Lonchura striata: one gene and its partner. The protein of the gene in region 1 purifies or fractionates together with the protein of each later gene. This does not show direct contact. Links are inferred from orthologs where the notes say so. Each region holds a gene or a part of one and is shown on either strand. Other genes may lie near its edges.

Evidence for each region.
Region 2: the proteins of LLGL1 (region 1) and PARD6B purify together in Homo sapiens (affinity purification with mass spectrometry; 5 studies listed by BioGRID and IntAct, counting the BioPlex papers as one, with this or other methods). This does not show direct contact. The link is inferred for Lonchura striata from reciprocal best matches to the Homo sapiens genes LLGL1 and PARD6B.

What each region holds. Positions count from the first base shown.
Region 1 is NC_134618.1:15,719,038-15,726,404, forward strand, and holds the start of LLGL1 (lethal(2) giant larvae protein homolog 1), read left to right. Parts: upstream 1-4,154; 5' UTR 4,155-4,193; coding exon 4,194-4,274; intron 4,275-6,826; coding exon 6,827-6,924; intron 6,925-7,367. UniProt on the Homo sapiens protein: Cortical cytoskeleton protein found in a complex involved in maintaining cell polarity and epithelial integrity. Involved in the regulation of mitotic spindle orientation, proliferation, differentiation and tissue organization of neuroepithelial cells.
Region 2 is NC_134619.1:1,171,953-1,179,484, reverse strand, and holds the start of PARD6B (partitioning defective 6 homolog beta), read right to left. Parts: upstream 3,086-7,532; 5' UTR 3,018-3,085; coding exon 2,952-3,017; intron 1-2,951. UniProt on the Homo sapiens protein: Adapter protein involved in asymmetrical cell division and cell polarization processes. Probably involved in formation of epithelial tight junctions.

The DNA of each region.
Region 1 (7,367 bases):
TCAGGCATTCAGCCCCGTGGAGTTGTGATAGAGCATCTGCCATCATCATCCTCTTCTCCCACCTGGTTTGTGTTAGCCCAGACCAAAGCCTTGGTGTTTGCAAAGTTTGGGGCCCAATGCCATATTTAGAGCTGTACTTTTAAGGAAAAACTTCCTCCAGTTGATTCTTTGAACCCAAGTGTTGGCAATTGTAAGGAGTAGTCTTATTTTTAAATTTTTACTGCTTTGCCCTCCTTCCAATTGTAGTTTTTCTTAGTGTCGTGTCCCCCACACACTTCATGGTCTGCACGCTTGGCAATAAAAAGATGTAATATATTTTGAAACTTGTTTGCTGCTGGCTTGAGGGGCTCCTGGTCTAAAACAACCACCCTGGCATTGTTCCCTGCAGTGCTGATCGAGGACATTTGCTGACATCTGGGTCCCGCTGTCCTTTTCCTTCCCTGCTGATTTTTTTCCTGGTGTTGGGGTTCTGCTCAGGCTGGATCTTGTCACATGAGCTCAGAGGATGTTGCCATCACTTCAGCACAGTGCTGACTGTGGGGGTGTTGGTGAGGTCCCCAGTGCCTGTCTCTGATTATCCACTGGTTTTCCTGGCACAGCCTCCAAAGGAACGTGTCTTGTCAGTCCAGAGATCCAAAAGTTTGTGCTTCTGCTGCTTGTGAAACCTTGAAAATGCCGTTTTCAGACCACACATAGCATTTGAAGCAGTGTTCCTCACCCTCCCAGCTTTCTGCTGTGAATCCAGGCCAGCTCTTGGCTACAGACCCCCTGTTTTGGGCAGCTTGGCATTCCCCTGACAGCAAAACCGCACGCAGAGAGCAGAGATCCCTTCTCCTCCTGATGGCTTTGTCTTTCTGCATCCATCCTGGCCATGCCCTGTTCCAGTCATGGTGCCAGGCTCTGCTGTAGGCACAGATGGTGACAGAGGTCTCAGCTCTCCCTTCCTGGCTCCCAGTTTTATCCCTGCCTCTCTAATATGGATGCTCTACCCTGGTGTCAACTCAAAATGAAGCTGGAGCAGCTTCCCAGAGCAGAACTTCCGTGGGATGAGGCGCTGGCTCTGTCTCTGGACATGCTGAGGTCTTGCACCTCTAGCCTGGTCCCAGCCACCAGCTCATCCCAGTCCTTGTGCAGGCTGTGCGTGTGCAAGATTCCTTTCCCAGCTTGTTTTGCTGTTCCTGCATGTCCTGCTCGGGAGCTTTCCCCTCCTTCCCCGTTCCCATCCATGCAGAGTGGCTGGGGGACAGGAGGATCTCCTCCCCAACCACGATCTGCTCTTGGTTTTTAACCTGAACTGGTTGGGGCTTGGCACCTTGGAGAGAGAGGGAGAGCAGGATCCCTCAGGAGGGGAGTCCCCAGCGTGCAGGCAGGGCCATCTTCCCACTTGTACAGACATTTTCTATAGACACGGATGTATATGTGTAGATAACATGGTTTTTTAACTCTTTTGCACTGAACAACATCGGAGTGAAACCTGGATTCAAAACCAGAAGACATTTTTCACACGGATCCAGAGGTCTGGATCCTTCCTGTAACCTGTCTGGTTGAAGCTGTGGCTCGGAATTCCCGGGTTTCGCTGTTGGGCTGCACGCAGGCAGGGGTCAGGCTGGTGCCATGGGGCTGGGGCTGAGCAGGGAGTGGGGTGAGCTGGAGTTTGGAGGCAAAACTGCCCTGGGCCAGGCTCATGACAGCCCTGACCCTGCTGGTTTGTCGTGTGTCTGGTCTGGTTGTGTGTGGTCCAACCTCTCCATCCACCCACAGCGTGTCCGTGCTCAGCCCCAAACTGGGAGCTGCATCCAGTGTGACAATCCGTGTGCCCAGACCAGGAGAAACTGTCTTTGCTAAGGAAGGGGGAGGAAGGTGGGGTTCATCCCTGCTTTTCCACAAAGAACAGGAGGAATTGGGGTTTGTTGCTGGTACCGTATCTCGAGAAGGGTCAGTGGTGGAATTAGCCAAGCCCATGGATCAAAACATCTGCCAGGCTTTGAGGAGAACTCGGAGGGGGAGCAGAGTCTTAGACCCCCACCAGCAGCAAAGAGTCTTTTACCTGCCAAAAGTGTTCCCTTTCCCTGTTGGGAGGAGAAACATTCAGGTGAGAAATGTCTCTGCTCCTTCCCCTGCCCACACTTAGAAGTTTTGGCTGACTTTAATTTTTTGGGTTTTTTTTTAAAAGATTCTAATTTTTTTTTTGTTACCAATAAAAATAAAAATTAAAAAAAATAAAAAAGAAAGTGGCAATATTTTTTTCTGTAAGCTTTTCCTAGGAAAAAGCGTGGTTTGTAACAAAGTTGTACAGTTCTGAAGTTTGAGATACGAGAAGTACTGTGTGAAACGCTGTAAATGGAGCAGAGATTATTTTATGTACAGTCTGACGTGGGGGAATCTTTTAATTCCAATTGATTCTTAGGAAGAATTTGGTTCTTCACTGTCAGGGTTTGGAATTTCATGGTTTCATTATTATTTTTTTTTTTCTTGTATAGATTGCTGCATTAATTGAATAAAAGCAGGAAGCATCTCTTGGCCTGGCTGTGTGGTACTGGGGGCTGGGACGTGCCTCGATTCCCCCTGGCAGGAGCGAGGTGGTTTGGAGCAGGGAAATGGTTCTAAATAAAGGGAGTCACCGGCTCCCCGGGGACAGGGTGGCCAAATGGGGTGGCTGTGCTGTCCTAGAAAGCAGGGACAGGGATCTCTGCCTTCCTCCCCTTGCTGCCAGCACCCTGTGCTTCGGCCTCGTGCTGAGCCCCTCATCCTCCTGGTGCCTCCCTCCTGCGAGAGGAGACGGGGTGGGTGTGCGGTGCCAGAGAGGGGATGGATGGGATCTGCTGCTCTGTGGCCTTGCTTCTTCCTCCTCTTTTCCTTTCCTCTTTCCTTTCTCTCCCTTTCGCTCTTTCTCTCCTCTTTCTTTCCCTCCCTCCCTTTCTCTTCTTTCTCTCCTCTTTTCTCTCCTGCTCTCCTCCCTTCTCTCCTATCCTCATCCTCCTCTCTCCAATTCTCCTCTCTTCTCCCTCCTCTTCCTCTCTTCTTCACACCTCTTTAGCTCTTATTCCCTCTCCCCTTTCTCTCCCCTTTCTCTCCCCTTTCTCTCCCCTTTCTCTCCCTCTTCTCCCTCCTCTTCCTCTCTTCTTCACACCTCTTTAGCTCTTATTCCCTGTCCTCTTTCTCTCCTCCCCTTTTCACTACCCCCTTCTTGCTCCCATCTGTTTTCCTTCTTCCTCCTTTGACTTTTTCCTCCTTTTCCCTCTCTTGGGAGCAGACCCAGCCTCCCCACGCTCGGTCCCGGGGCTGTGCCGGCGCTTCGGGCCCCTCCATCCCTGCGTGAGCCCATCACCGGGGCTCGGTTCCCCGCTCGCCCGGGGCTGTTTTCCGCCCCAAACCCTGCACCGCCCCGCAGCCGCATCTCCCCGGGCCGGGGTTAGTCAGCAGGGAGGGGAAGCCGTGCCCTGCCCGGGCTGACTCACCCCAAAACTGGGTGCAGGGCAGGCTGCACCCCCTCCCACCTGGGGATGGTGCCGCGGGGGGAGTGGGGAGCAACATTCCCGGTGCCCTAGCGGGAATAATGAGTCGCCAGCCGGGAATGAGGCTCGAGTGCTCATTCCGGGAGCCGCCAGGATGCTCCGGGCCTAGCAGCCGGGGCGCCGCCATGTTGATGCACCCCATGGCTGTGGGGCACACCATGAGACCCTAAATCCACGACGCCCCATGTTTGTGGGGGCTTTGGGACCACCGTGACCAAGCTTGGGGTATCCTCGCTGTCTCTCACTATGCCCACGGCGAGGGAAGACGCCGAAAGAAGAGGATTTAAAAAAGAATACAAATAAACCCAGCGCAGAGGGCGTTGAGTTAGAAGACTACATCTCCCATCGGCAGCCGCGGCGGCGCAGGCGCAGCGCAGGTGGGCGGGGCCGCGGCGCGCGGCGCGCGTTGCCGCGCGGTGATTGGCGGGCGGAGCTGTCCGTCAGGCGCTCCGCCCCGCCCCCGCCGCGGCGGTGCTTGCCCGGGCTCGGCGGGCGCGCGCACCGGGACCCCGCACCGGCACCGGGGACCCCGCACCGGCACCGCGCCCCCTGCCGGCCCCGCCCCGCGCCGCGCCCCGCCGCCGCCACCGCCGCCCCGGGACCGGCCCCGGGACCGCCGGCCGCGCCCGCCCCGCCCGGTACCGCGCCGCCGCCACCGCCGCCGCCGCCGGCCCAACCATGATGAAGTTTCGGTTCCGGCGGCAGGGTGCCGACCCGCACCGCGACCGCCTCCGCCACGACCTCTTCGCTTTCAGCAAGGTGCGTCTAGGGCGAGCGGGGGGCGCGGCGGTGGATCCCGGGGGGCGGCGACCGCCGGGAGGCACCGGGGGTACCGGGCAGGGTGCGGCGTGCGGGCAGCCCCCCGGTGGCGCGGGGCTCTGGTACCCCCGCGGGATGCCGCCCGCGGGGAGGCGAGCAGAGTGCGGGGCACCGCCCCCCGGGACCGGCTGAACCCCCGGGGGAGCCGCGCACCGGGACCTCCCCGCTCCCGGGGAAGGGGCACGCGGGAACGGCGGGGCTGCCTGGCCCGGGGATCCCGGGACGGGCTGCTGGGCCGCCCCGGGAGGATGCACACCGGGGGTGGGTACCGGGAGCCCCCGGGTGCGAGATGCGCCCCGGGGTGCGGACCGGGGGGCTGCGCTCCTCCCCGTGCGGTGCAGGGGGGCACTCCGGGAGAGGATGCGACCCCCTGAGCAGCGCGACATCCCGGTCCCCAGCCCCTCCTGGGGGGGCTCCCGGAGCGCCCCGGTTCCCGCACTCCCCCCTGTCCCGTGGATCCCCCGAGGCCTCGCTCGCGGGCGTTTTGGGGTGACCCGTGGTCCCACACCCTGTCTGGCCTTGGAGCATCCCTGGCTGCATCCCCCATGTGGGGCTCAGCCCCCCACTCCCGTCTCCCCAGGGGTGGGATACTGGGGGGCTGGACCCCCTGTGTCAGCCGGAAGGGCTGTGCCAATGACCCCCTGGGCTTTTGGGGTGCCCTGGCACCCCAAAGATGCGTCTCTGTGGGGACATGAGAGGTCAGCTCTTGCCCCCCTCCTCCCTCCGAGTTTTACCACTTGCCTCCTTCATTTGGGGTGGGAGCGACCCCCAAGCTCATCAAACAAGCCCTGAGGTGCCAGACCCTTCCCTCGGGACACCGGGCTGTGCCTGGGACTTGGTGCACCTTGTCCTGGAGGCGCCGTGGTGGCCTTGGGACCGTGCTGCTGCCCTGCCCGCGGGGCATGAGACCACCGGCAGTGCCCCCTGGATGCGCCCAAACCGTGCCCGTCTCTCCGTCATTCGGCCGCGTCCCGGCACTGCCGTGGGGTCCTTGCCCAGCTCCTGCTGGGGACGCACCGGGGCGACCCCCGGCTGTCCCACAGCGGGGTCGGGTGTGCAGTGCTGAGGGGTCAGCGCCCCGCACAGCCCTGGCCCCCCAACTCTCTGCCGTGGATCCGGCCGGGGTGCAAGGCTCAGCCCAGCCTGAGCCCCCCTGTTTTTGGGGAGCACAGTCCCGCGGCCGGATCCTGCCCGAACGAGTGCCCAGGGCGGGTGTGAGCAGTGGGATGTCCTGGGGGGAGGCTGAGGAGAGCCCCTCTCCGGCCGTCCCAGCCCTGGGGCCGCGGGCTGCCCACCTGCCTCCCATTAAGGGTTGTTTTTCCTCCCGAGCTCCAGATCTGCCTGGGATTTGCTGTAATTTGGCCGGGAGCGCGCCTTGGCCGGCCGGCACAGCCTGCCGGATGCGGCCCCGCTGCGGGCGGGAGCGGGGGCTGCGGCGGGGGTCCCTCCTTTTGGGACTGGGAGTGCTGGGGAGCTGCGACAGCGCTTTTTGGGGACTCTTTGCCCGTGTCACCGTGTTGGTTTCTGGCCTAAAGCATCGCTGTGGTGCTGCTGTCCCAGCTCCGTCCTCCAGCGCAGCGTGCATCCCGGGGGGATTCAGCATGACCCTGCGTGGGTGGGCACCCACGAGCACCCACTTCCTCGCCCCTTGGACGCGTTGGGACCCACTTGGATGGGCCGGGACGCCTGGGATGGGCTGGGGGCGTTTTCACGCTCCTGGAGGTGTCCCCTGGGAGGGGAGCAGGAGCTGGGGTGCCGCCGGCGGGTGCGCAAAGCCGCCCCGCTGCGCCTCTCGGATGCCCCAGACAAAGGGAGCGGGTCAGGATCCGGCCAGTCTGGCTCCGGCGGCCTCCGTATCGTCTGATCGCGCCGTCGCCGCTCCGCCGAGCTGCCCTCGGGAGCCCTGCGGTCCCCGCGCCGGGGCCGGGCCGGTGGGTGCCCCCCGCGTCCCCCCGCTGCCGGGGCAGCCCCTCCCCGGCCGGCGAGCCCGGGCACGCCGTTCGGCCGGGACTTCCTTGGGAAGGTGCCCTGGGGCCACGCGCGGCTCCGGCGGGGACGTCCCTGGCGCTGGCGGGTCCCGCTCGCCTGGTTCTGCCGCCCGGCATCGGGGACGCCCGGTGATGTCGCACTGGGGGTCCCGCTCGCCTCCCCTGGGGTGTCCCCACCTCCGAGGTTCAGAGCAGGGGGGTCCCACCCCCAAAGTGCCGGCGGGTGGTGGGGCAGCTCGTTCAAGGTCAGCCCTACCCCGCTGTGGCTGTTGGGCTGGGTTTTGGAGTGCTGGGTGGAAATTGGGTGAGGAGTGATGTCCCCTTTCCCCGGGGCCCTCCTTGGTGGCACTGGGGGACAGAGCAGCATCTTCGTGATCCCCCATCTCCGGGGTGATGCTCAGGCTGGTGCGGGATCGCAGCTGTGGGGGCGAGGGGGGCTGTGGAAGGTTTGGGGGTGTCCGAGGTGGGGGGGGTCCCGCTCTGACCTGCCTGTCCCCATGGCAGACGGTGGAGCACGGCTTCCCCAGCCAGCCCAGCGCCCTGGCCTACGACCCCGTCCTGCGTGTGATGGCCATCGGCACCAAGGCGGGAGCCGTCAAGCTGTATCCTTTTCCTCCCACATGAGCAGGAGGTAAGGACCTCCCGGACCCTCCCGCGTTCGCTCCTCCGGCTCTCCCCATCCCGGAGAATGCTTGGAGACGTGGCTGCGCTGCTTCTGGCCCATCCCGCAGCCCCCACTCGGCTGACGTCCATCCCTCCGTCCAGCTGTGCTGCAGCTGGAGGAGTGCTGGAGGAAACCCCCACCTCGCCCCAAAACGCCGGCGGGGGAAAGGGGCTCGGCCGTCCCGGGGGGAGCATCCCAAGTGTGGGGTCCTTCCTGCCGTTACCCCGCTTATCCCGGGGGGGCTCCTCTCCATCCTTCTCATCCACGCAGCCCCCGGGGGAGCAGCAGGGGCTCTGGCCGGCCCAGCGCTGGGAAGAGGGGCTGCGGTGGGCGCGGAGCCCGGTCCCGGGTGGGGGGCCGAAGCGGGGGACGCCGAGCGGG
Region 2 (7,532 bases), on another chromosome or scaffold:
CAAGCTACACCTTCAACACCCCACCTTCCTCCAAAAGCTTCAAATAAGGGAATTATCTGGGAACATTCCTGCTGTAAAAAACCCCGCAATTACCCTAACATTAACTAATGAGGAAGAAGGGATGATTCGTACCTGCTTACAAACAAAGCCCAGCCCACGGGAGGAACTCCCATCACGTCAGAGGCAGCGCAGCTTAATGGTGACATCAGTGCAGGACTTCGTCCTGTCTCAGATCCGAGCCCCGCAGGAACTGTCCATGCATGGCAGCCATCGAAATTCTTTGGCTTTCAAGGATTACATACTTTAAACGTAATTCAGTAACAAAAGTTTTAAAAAGTCAACAACCTCACCCTCAGGCTGGAATAAATGTTGAATCTTACCACAGCAAGCAAAGGGTCAGATTTTCAAACGTGCGATTTTTATTTTTTCCATGTTATTTTATACATATTTGGTGCAAATACCAAAAGGCTCATAACCCACTCGTATTTCCTAACATAGTTTGCTCAATACTATTAGAAAGCAGGTAAAAGACAAGTCCAACTGTGCAATTCCATTATCTGAATCCCTGAAACGTCTGCATTTTCTACCAGATGCTGCCCTCCATCCCATGAAACAGGCCTGCACTTGAGGTCCTAGAGACACTGGAGGAGTAACTCAAGCACAGAAGGCTCCTTGCCACCTGAGCTCTTTACAAGCCTGTGCTGCTCCCCTGGGAGAAGGCAGGAGAGCCATGGCAGCACACCAGGAAGGCACCCGGGATGCCCACTCAACACTCATGTATGGGTCTGAAACACAGCACAGAGCTGCCCTATGCATGTCTCCATCATTGACAGAACATGAGCTGCACTGACCTTCTCTGGCTCACCAGTCATTAAGATTTTACTCAGAAAAAATATTATTCCAAGTCATGAGAAAGGGGGAAAACACGAATTTTAATATATAGAGAACTAGAAGCTTATTTTGGGGTTCCCATACCATCAGTAGGAACTCTAGTCTGGGGTATAAAGTTTTATTTTCCATGACAAGAAAACAGGCTGACTGGAATTCAAGTACTATGGGGAATTGCCAGGGCAAGCTCAGAGCAGTTACCCAAAGTGAATAAACTAAACTAACAAAAGGATTGTGCTCCTGCTACTGCAAGCACAGTTGGGCTGTGCTGGCCCAGCCTTGTCAGCTGAGGCACAATTATTGATTTGGAATATCTAAATAAAGAGCTGTACATCACGGAGAGCCTTCAAAGCCCAGGCCACTCCACAGGAATGGTCCCTCCACCTCCCACACAGGCATTTCTTTCTCTTCAGAATTGCTCATTTTCATAGAAGGAAGATGACTCCTCTGTGATATTAATTGAGGTGCTGTTAAATAATGCATTAGCAACAAGTAGTTCTAGGAATGTCTTGAATCCTGCTCCATAATATGCACTTGAGGGACAATCCCTGTTCATTAGGGCTACACTTCTCTGTACAAACACCAGAACACACCACATGGCTGATTCCCTCGATGTATTTTAAATCAAGGAAAACACACAGCAGGGAAAACAGTAAACCTGGAGTTCTGGGCTGAGGAAACAAGTGATTTGGGTTTGTAAGCACATCATACTGACTCTTTTCAACCTTATAAGAGCATAAATAGAAGACTTCACCATCATAGTACTAACTTAGCCGGTATTTGAAATAACAGCTACCAGATATTCCTGTGCTTGCTGGTTAAAACCACATGAAAAATGAACACTCTAAAAGAAATCATCCTCATTCAAGTAGAGACCAACCTTACACTCTCCAGAAGTTCCAGCACTATGATGCGTTACCCTTAGACATCCACACAGCTCAAGTCCTGACTGCTTCACCTGCACTGCTGCTGTAAGACCTCACTAGCAGGAAAGGAGGGGACAGAACACTTCAAAAAACAACCAGAGAGATCCATGTGTCCACCAATGGAAAACACATTCCCACGTGGATGCACTTACAATCTGCCTAGGCAATGAAAAAGGTGTTTCAGCGCAACATTTATTAAACTAACGGTGATACTCCAACTCATACTGTACATCCAGCAGTTTTACAACTGGAAGTTATTACAAATATAAAGCAGAACAAAAAAAAAAAAAAATCTAATTTTTCTCAGAATATCTAAGTTTTGTCAGAAAAACTTTGCCTAACCAGCAAATAAAAATTAAAAATAGAAGAGACGTGGATACACGCATGGGGGAATTTACAGAGCTGGGCAAAGCTGTGAGCACCTGACAGAGGTGATCTCTGCGGGAACACACAGGTACACACTCCTGAAACATTGCCAGGGTAAAAGTCTCCCGGGGCCTCTAAGAGAAGGCAAACTCCACTTTCGGATAAGCCAGCCAGGGCTCACCTCTAGCTCTACTGTGAGCCTATGCTGTACCGCACAACAAGCTGCAGAAAGACATAATCATTAGGGGAAAAAAGGTAACTACAGAAACAGTCACTAACAAACGCACTCACCGCAATTCGGACAAAGAGAAGGTCTCGAATTATCACAGGACTTTCAGGGTTGGAAGGGACCTCTGGAGATCATGTAGCCCACTCCCCAAGAATGTCTCTAAATACCTCTTTTGGCCCAGTGATCCCACACTTTCCCTAGAGCACATATTTGTCTGTACGTCTTTCATTCTGTCCAGAAACTCAGGGGTCAACTCCACTTACCTGTTTTTTTTTTAAAGCACTTCAAAACCATTTACATTTCGCGCCCGCAGACAGCGCACCCAGCAAGCGACCCCAGCGCTGGGCAGCGGGGCCGGGGGAGGGAGCGCCGGGCCCGCGGCCTGCGGAGCGCTCAGGCCCGGCGGGGCCGTGCCCGGCGGCCCCTCGGGCAGGTGAGTCAGCAGCCGTCCCCATCCCGTCCCCGCAGCGACACCGCGGCCGCGCGGGGCCGGCCCGCTCCTTCCCCCGCGCCCGCGGCCCTCGGGCGGCGGCAGCTCCCACCTTGCTCTTCACCTCCATGGTGCCCAGGCCGCGGCTGCCCGCGGCGCCGCGCGGAGCCCGGCTCATGCCGCGCGCGGTCGCTGCTCTGGCTCCTCCGTCCGCCGGAGCGCCGCGGGACGGGCGGCGGCGCGGCCCAGCCAAAGCCCGGCACCCGCGGCCGCTCCGCCGCCTCCGCCCTCAGCGCGGCCGGGCCGGGGCGGGGCCGCGCGGCTCCGGCACCTGCCGGGCACCGGGGCGGGGCCGCGCCGCGCCTGCGCCGCCTCCGCGGGCCGCACCTGCCCCGCCGCGCAAGATGGAGGCGGCGGGGCGGGGGCCGTGAGGGGCCGTGAGGGGCCGTGCTGCTGGCCCGCAGCGGGTCCGGGCCGTGAGGGGCCGTGAGGGGCCGCGCTGCTGTGCTGCTGGCCCGCAGCGGGTGCGGGCCGTGCCTCTGCTTCTCTCCCCGCAGCGGGTGCGGGCCCGTGCGGGGCTCTGTGCTCCTGTCCCCGCAGCGGGTGCGGGCCGTGCCGCCGCTCCTGTGCCCGCAGCGGCCGCGGCTGTGCGCGCACGGGGCCGGAGCGCGGCTCGGCTCCCGCTGCTTCCTCAGGCACCTCCCGCCCCGGGGAGCCGCCATCCCGCGGCTCCGCATCCTCCCGCGGCCCTCGGGAGCCTCCACGGCGAGCTCCGGCTCCCCCACAGCCCTGCGGAGCCAACCTAACCCTCCCACAGCCCCGGGAGCCTCCATGGCGATCTCGGGGTCTTCCGCATCCCTGAGGAGCCAACCAGACCCTAACCCACAACCCCAGGAGCCTCCATGGCGAGCTCTGGATCCTCCACAGCCCTGAGGAGCCAACCCTGGCCGTGGCGAGCTTTGGGTCCTCCACAGCCCCAGGAGCCTCCATGGCGAGCTCTGGGTCTTCCACATCCCTGAGGAGCCAACCCTAACCCACAGCCCCAGGAGCCTCCATGGCAAGCTCTGGGTCTTCCATAGCCCTGAGGAGCCAACCCTGGCCATGGCAAGCTCCAGATGCTCCACATCCCTGAGGAGCCAACCCTAACCCACAGCCCCAGGAGCCTCCATGGCGAGCTCTGGGTCTTCCATAGCCCTGAGGAGTCAGCTCTAGCCATGGCGAGCTCCGGATCCTCCACAGCCCTGAGGAGCCAGCTCTAATTCTCCCACAGCCGCGGGAGCCTCCATGGCAAGCTCTGGATCCTCCACAGCCCCGAGGAGCCAGCCCTAATTCTCCCACAGCCGCGGGAGCCTCCATGGCGAGCTCTGGATCCTCCACAGCCCCGAGGAGCCAGCCCTAATTCTCCCACAGCCCCAGGAGCCTCGTGCTGCGCTGCTGCTCCTCCGCAGCCCTGCGGAGCCGCATCCCGCGGCCCAGTGCCCCTCACAGCCCCGGAGCCCCCGGGTCAGGCTGCCCTGGAGGCTCCGAGCCCTCAGACATGGAGCGTGGGGATGGACTGGATGATCTCCAGAGAAAGATCGTTTCCAGTCCCAGTGATTCTGTGATTCAGGGATCCTGGGATCCCACGGATGTAACACGCAAACCGCACCAGTGCTAGCTGATGTTTGCATGTTACATAAATAAACCTTGGTCAGGCCAAAAGTGTGACGTCTCCCTCTCAGGATGTGGCTTTATGTCCATCCTGAACGTAAAGCTGTTCATGGAGCTTGTTTTCATTTTGGTCACAAATAAGATTGCAGGATCTGGTAATGTCAGAGCTAACTTTTAAATTTCATTTAAAGGCCAGTTAAGCTACCCTGACAAAAGTACAAGGTTTAGAAAAAGATTGTAAACTGTCTGAAAATAAATTACTTCTCACGTGTATGGACAAGAAGAAAGCATGTACATTAATCTCATTATGTCAACAGACCTTTGAATTACAGGTCTCTCCATTATCTATGAACCTGGTGGAAGAGAATGCCGTGTGAGGTTTCATCATGTGTGGATGCCAGTGATGGTAGCTCAAACAATGCCTTGCACCTGAGGCACGCCACGGGTGTCTAGTCCTCAAGTCTCAGTTGGTAATCAGTAATTAAATAAAATGCATCCAGTGCTGAATCACTTCTAAGTCGGTGCTGATTTTTGTACAGTTGATCTTCCTCCCATCACGCCAAAGGCAAAGGAATTGCAGCTCTCACTCGAGCCAAGACAAGCTGTAATTAGCACAGAGGATATTGTTAATAGTTAAATATAGTTTGCTGCCAGACGGTGTCTAGGCTGATTCAAATCTTCTCATCCTTTATCCAGCATGTTTTGGTTTTACACTGCAGAAGGACACGTAGAGAATTCAACCTGTAAATTCAGATAGAATCTGTGATCCTGGTGCAGTAGAAGGAAGATTACAGCTCTGAGAGCAAGACCAGGATAAAACCTCTTATTCTGTCACTTTGTAATTATAACATTGAAAAGAGTTTGGACTGCTTTCCATATCTGTCTTCTACAGCTCTGTTTAATGAGCTGAGCACAGAGAAGAGTGCAAGAGACAAGGGAACAGTGATTTCTCTGGGGCTTTAAAGCTGCTGGGTTGGCTCTTTTCTCCTGGAGAAAGGGAGGAAAAACCTCCTGAAGCTGATTTCTGCTTGGAGCTGTTGTGCAGTTAATTTTACTGCTATAGATTTATGAGGTATCGCCTAAGATAATTTGTTTTCTATTGTGCATTCCTAGCATGGCTGGAGTGCCAGGCAGTGGGTGTGGGAGCGAGCCTGAGGAGTCAGGGCAAATTCATTTCAAGTCACTGGAACCAACCTAATAAAATGTATTAATCACTGGCTGGCTTTCATCACAAGGAGCTGACGTACGAGGAAGGAATGTGATAAACAATTTGATCTCAGATAAAGGTGGGGAGTGAGGCAGGCTCTTTGTAAGGTAAGCTTATAGAGCTATTTTAGTCACAAGTTCTGTACAACCTGTGATTCAGACCTGGTCAAGCTATTCACGGCACGTTCAGTTTCTGTGAAGTTGAAAGACAGGTTGGGTTTCCTGATCTCTGAGCAGCTGGGGAAGCTTTTTTGGGAGGCCTTTTTCTCCCCATTTGTTTGTTTTTGTGTAGAAATTCCATCACTTAGGTCCACCATGCAGTATAGTGAGATTGTGCCAAGATGTTGGTTTCCTATTCCAGATTTCTGAGATTTTAAGTGGAATTGTATTCCATACAGCCCTCCTGGGATTTCAGAGAGTATTTCCAAGAATAAAGCACAGAAAATTGCTGTCAGCATAGGTTAACTATATTGATGATCCACCTAATCTTTTATTACATAGTTCAGGGCTTATGCTGATTTCATATTTAACATAAAGTAGTCTTTATTTACACTGTCAGTGCCAGCTCAGAGGAGTGATTGTTAGATGCACTAGATTGTAATCTGAGCTTGTCTTGGAGTTGATGAGAGACTGGAGAGTTTTTTATGGGTAGAGAAAACTAAAGGGGAAAAAGAGAAGCTTTATTTTCAAAATGTTAATAAAATTCTGCTTTCTTTCAAAAATAAATCCTGTACTTACAGGCTTTCTTTTTGATACCTTCTGCAATTTTGATACATTAATGTTGTGTCCCAGTTACATTTCCCTACAAAGAAGCATTTTCAACAGTAGTGTGTGCTCTTGGATACTCCATTTTCACAATATTAGGGACCAGCGTGACCTCAAATTGCTTTTGGCCTCTCCTTGATAAGTGAGTGCTGGAGACAAACCAGTGCTGTCATGGGGGCGTCTGATGGTCACAAATACAAAATTATTGTAGAGCACTACTTCCCACGAATCCATAAAATCCATTGAATACTCTCTGCTGATAGTGCTGATCCCGAGGCAGGATGTGAGCTCACAAGTGCTGCATCAGAGAGGAAGAATTTGAGAAGGGGAGCTTGTTACCCTTTATCTCCATGGAACACACTCCACACCAACAGCTCTACACAAAAACAGCAGCAAGGCTCAGCAAGAAAACCCCAGGGCATGGCAACGTAGCTGCTTCATTAATAACAGCAGTATTTGAGTAGCACTTGTGTAATAAAAATTTTATTTCTTACACTGAAATTGTGGCAGTTACAGGATTTTAATTTGGGATGGGTTTTTTGTTTATCTGTTTGTTTGAGTTTTTAAAATTTTATTTTACTGAGGGGGGAAACAATAGTTGGGTTAGTAATAAGTTTTTGTGTTCTGTTTCTGCCTTTGCTTTCTTCTTTCCTGTCAGGAAAACTAGCAGCAATTTTTCTTCTCCACTCCTCCTCCAGGAACCTTTAGTTGTTACTTTGATGCAATATTTACTTACCTGTCTGTGACAAAATGAATTGATTGTTTTTCAAGTTCATATATAAGATCTTTTCCGATAAAATATTTATAGTTTCCTGGGGTTGGGGGGGGTCTTCGTTGGTTTGTACTTTTATTTTGTCTGCCTTTATGGGAAAGGTTGTCTTCATACCATGCTGCCTGTGAAAGAAACATTTGTTTCAGGTGTGTTATAAATCCAGTTATAAACTTGGTCCAGCAATAAACTCGTGAAGTTTTCTGAAAACCCCTTCCTAGCAAGTCGAAAGCTGATATTGATACATTCATTTAAATTCTCTGAGGTTTCTAACTAAAATAATGAAAAGCTTTTAAAGCTCTT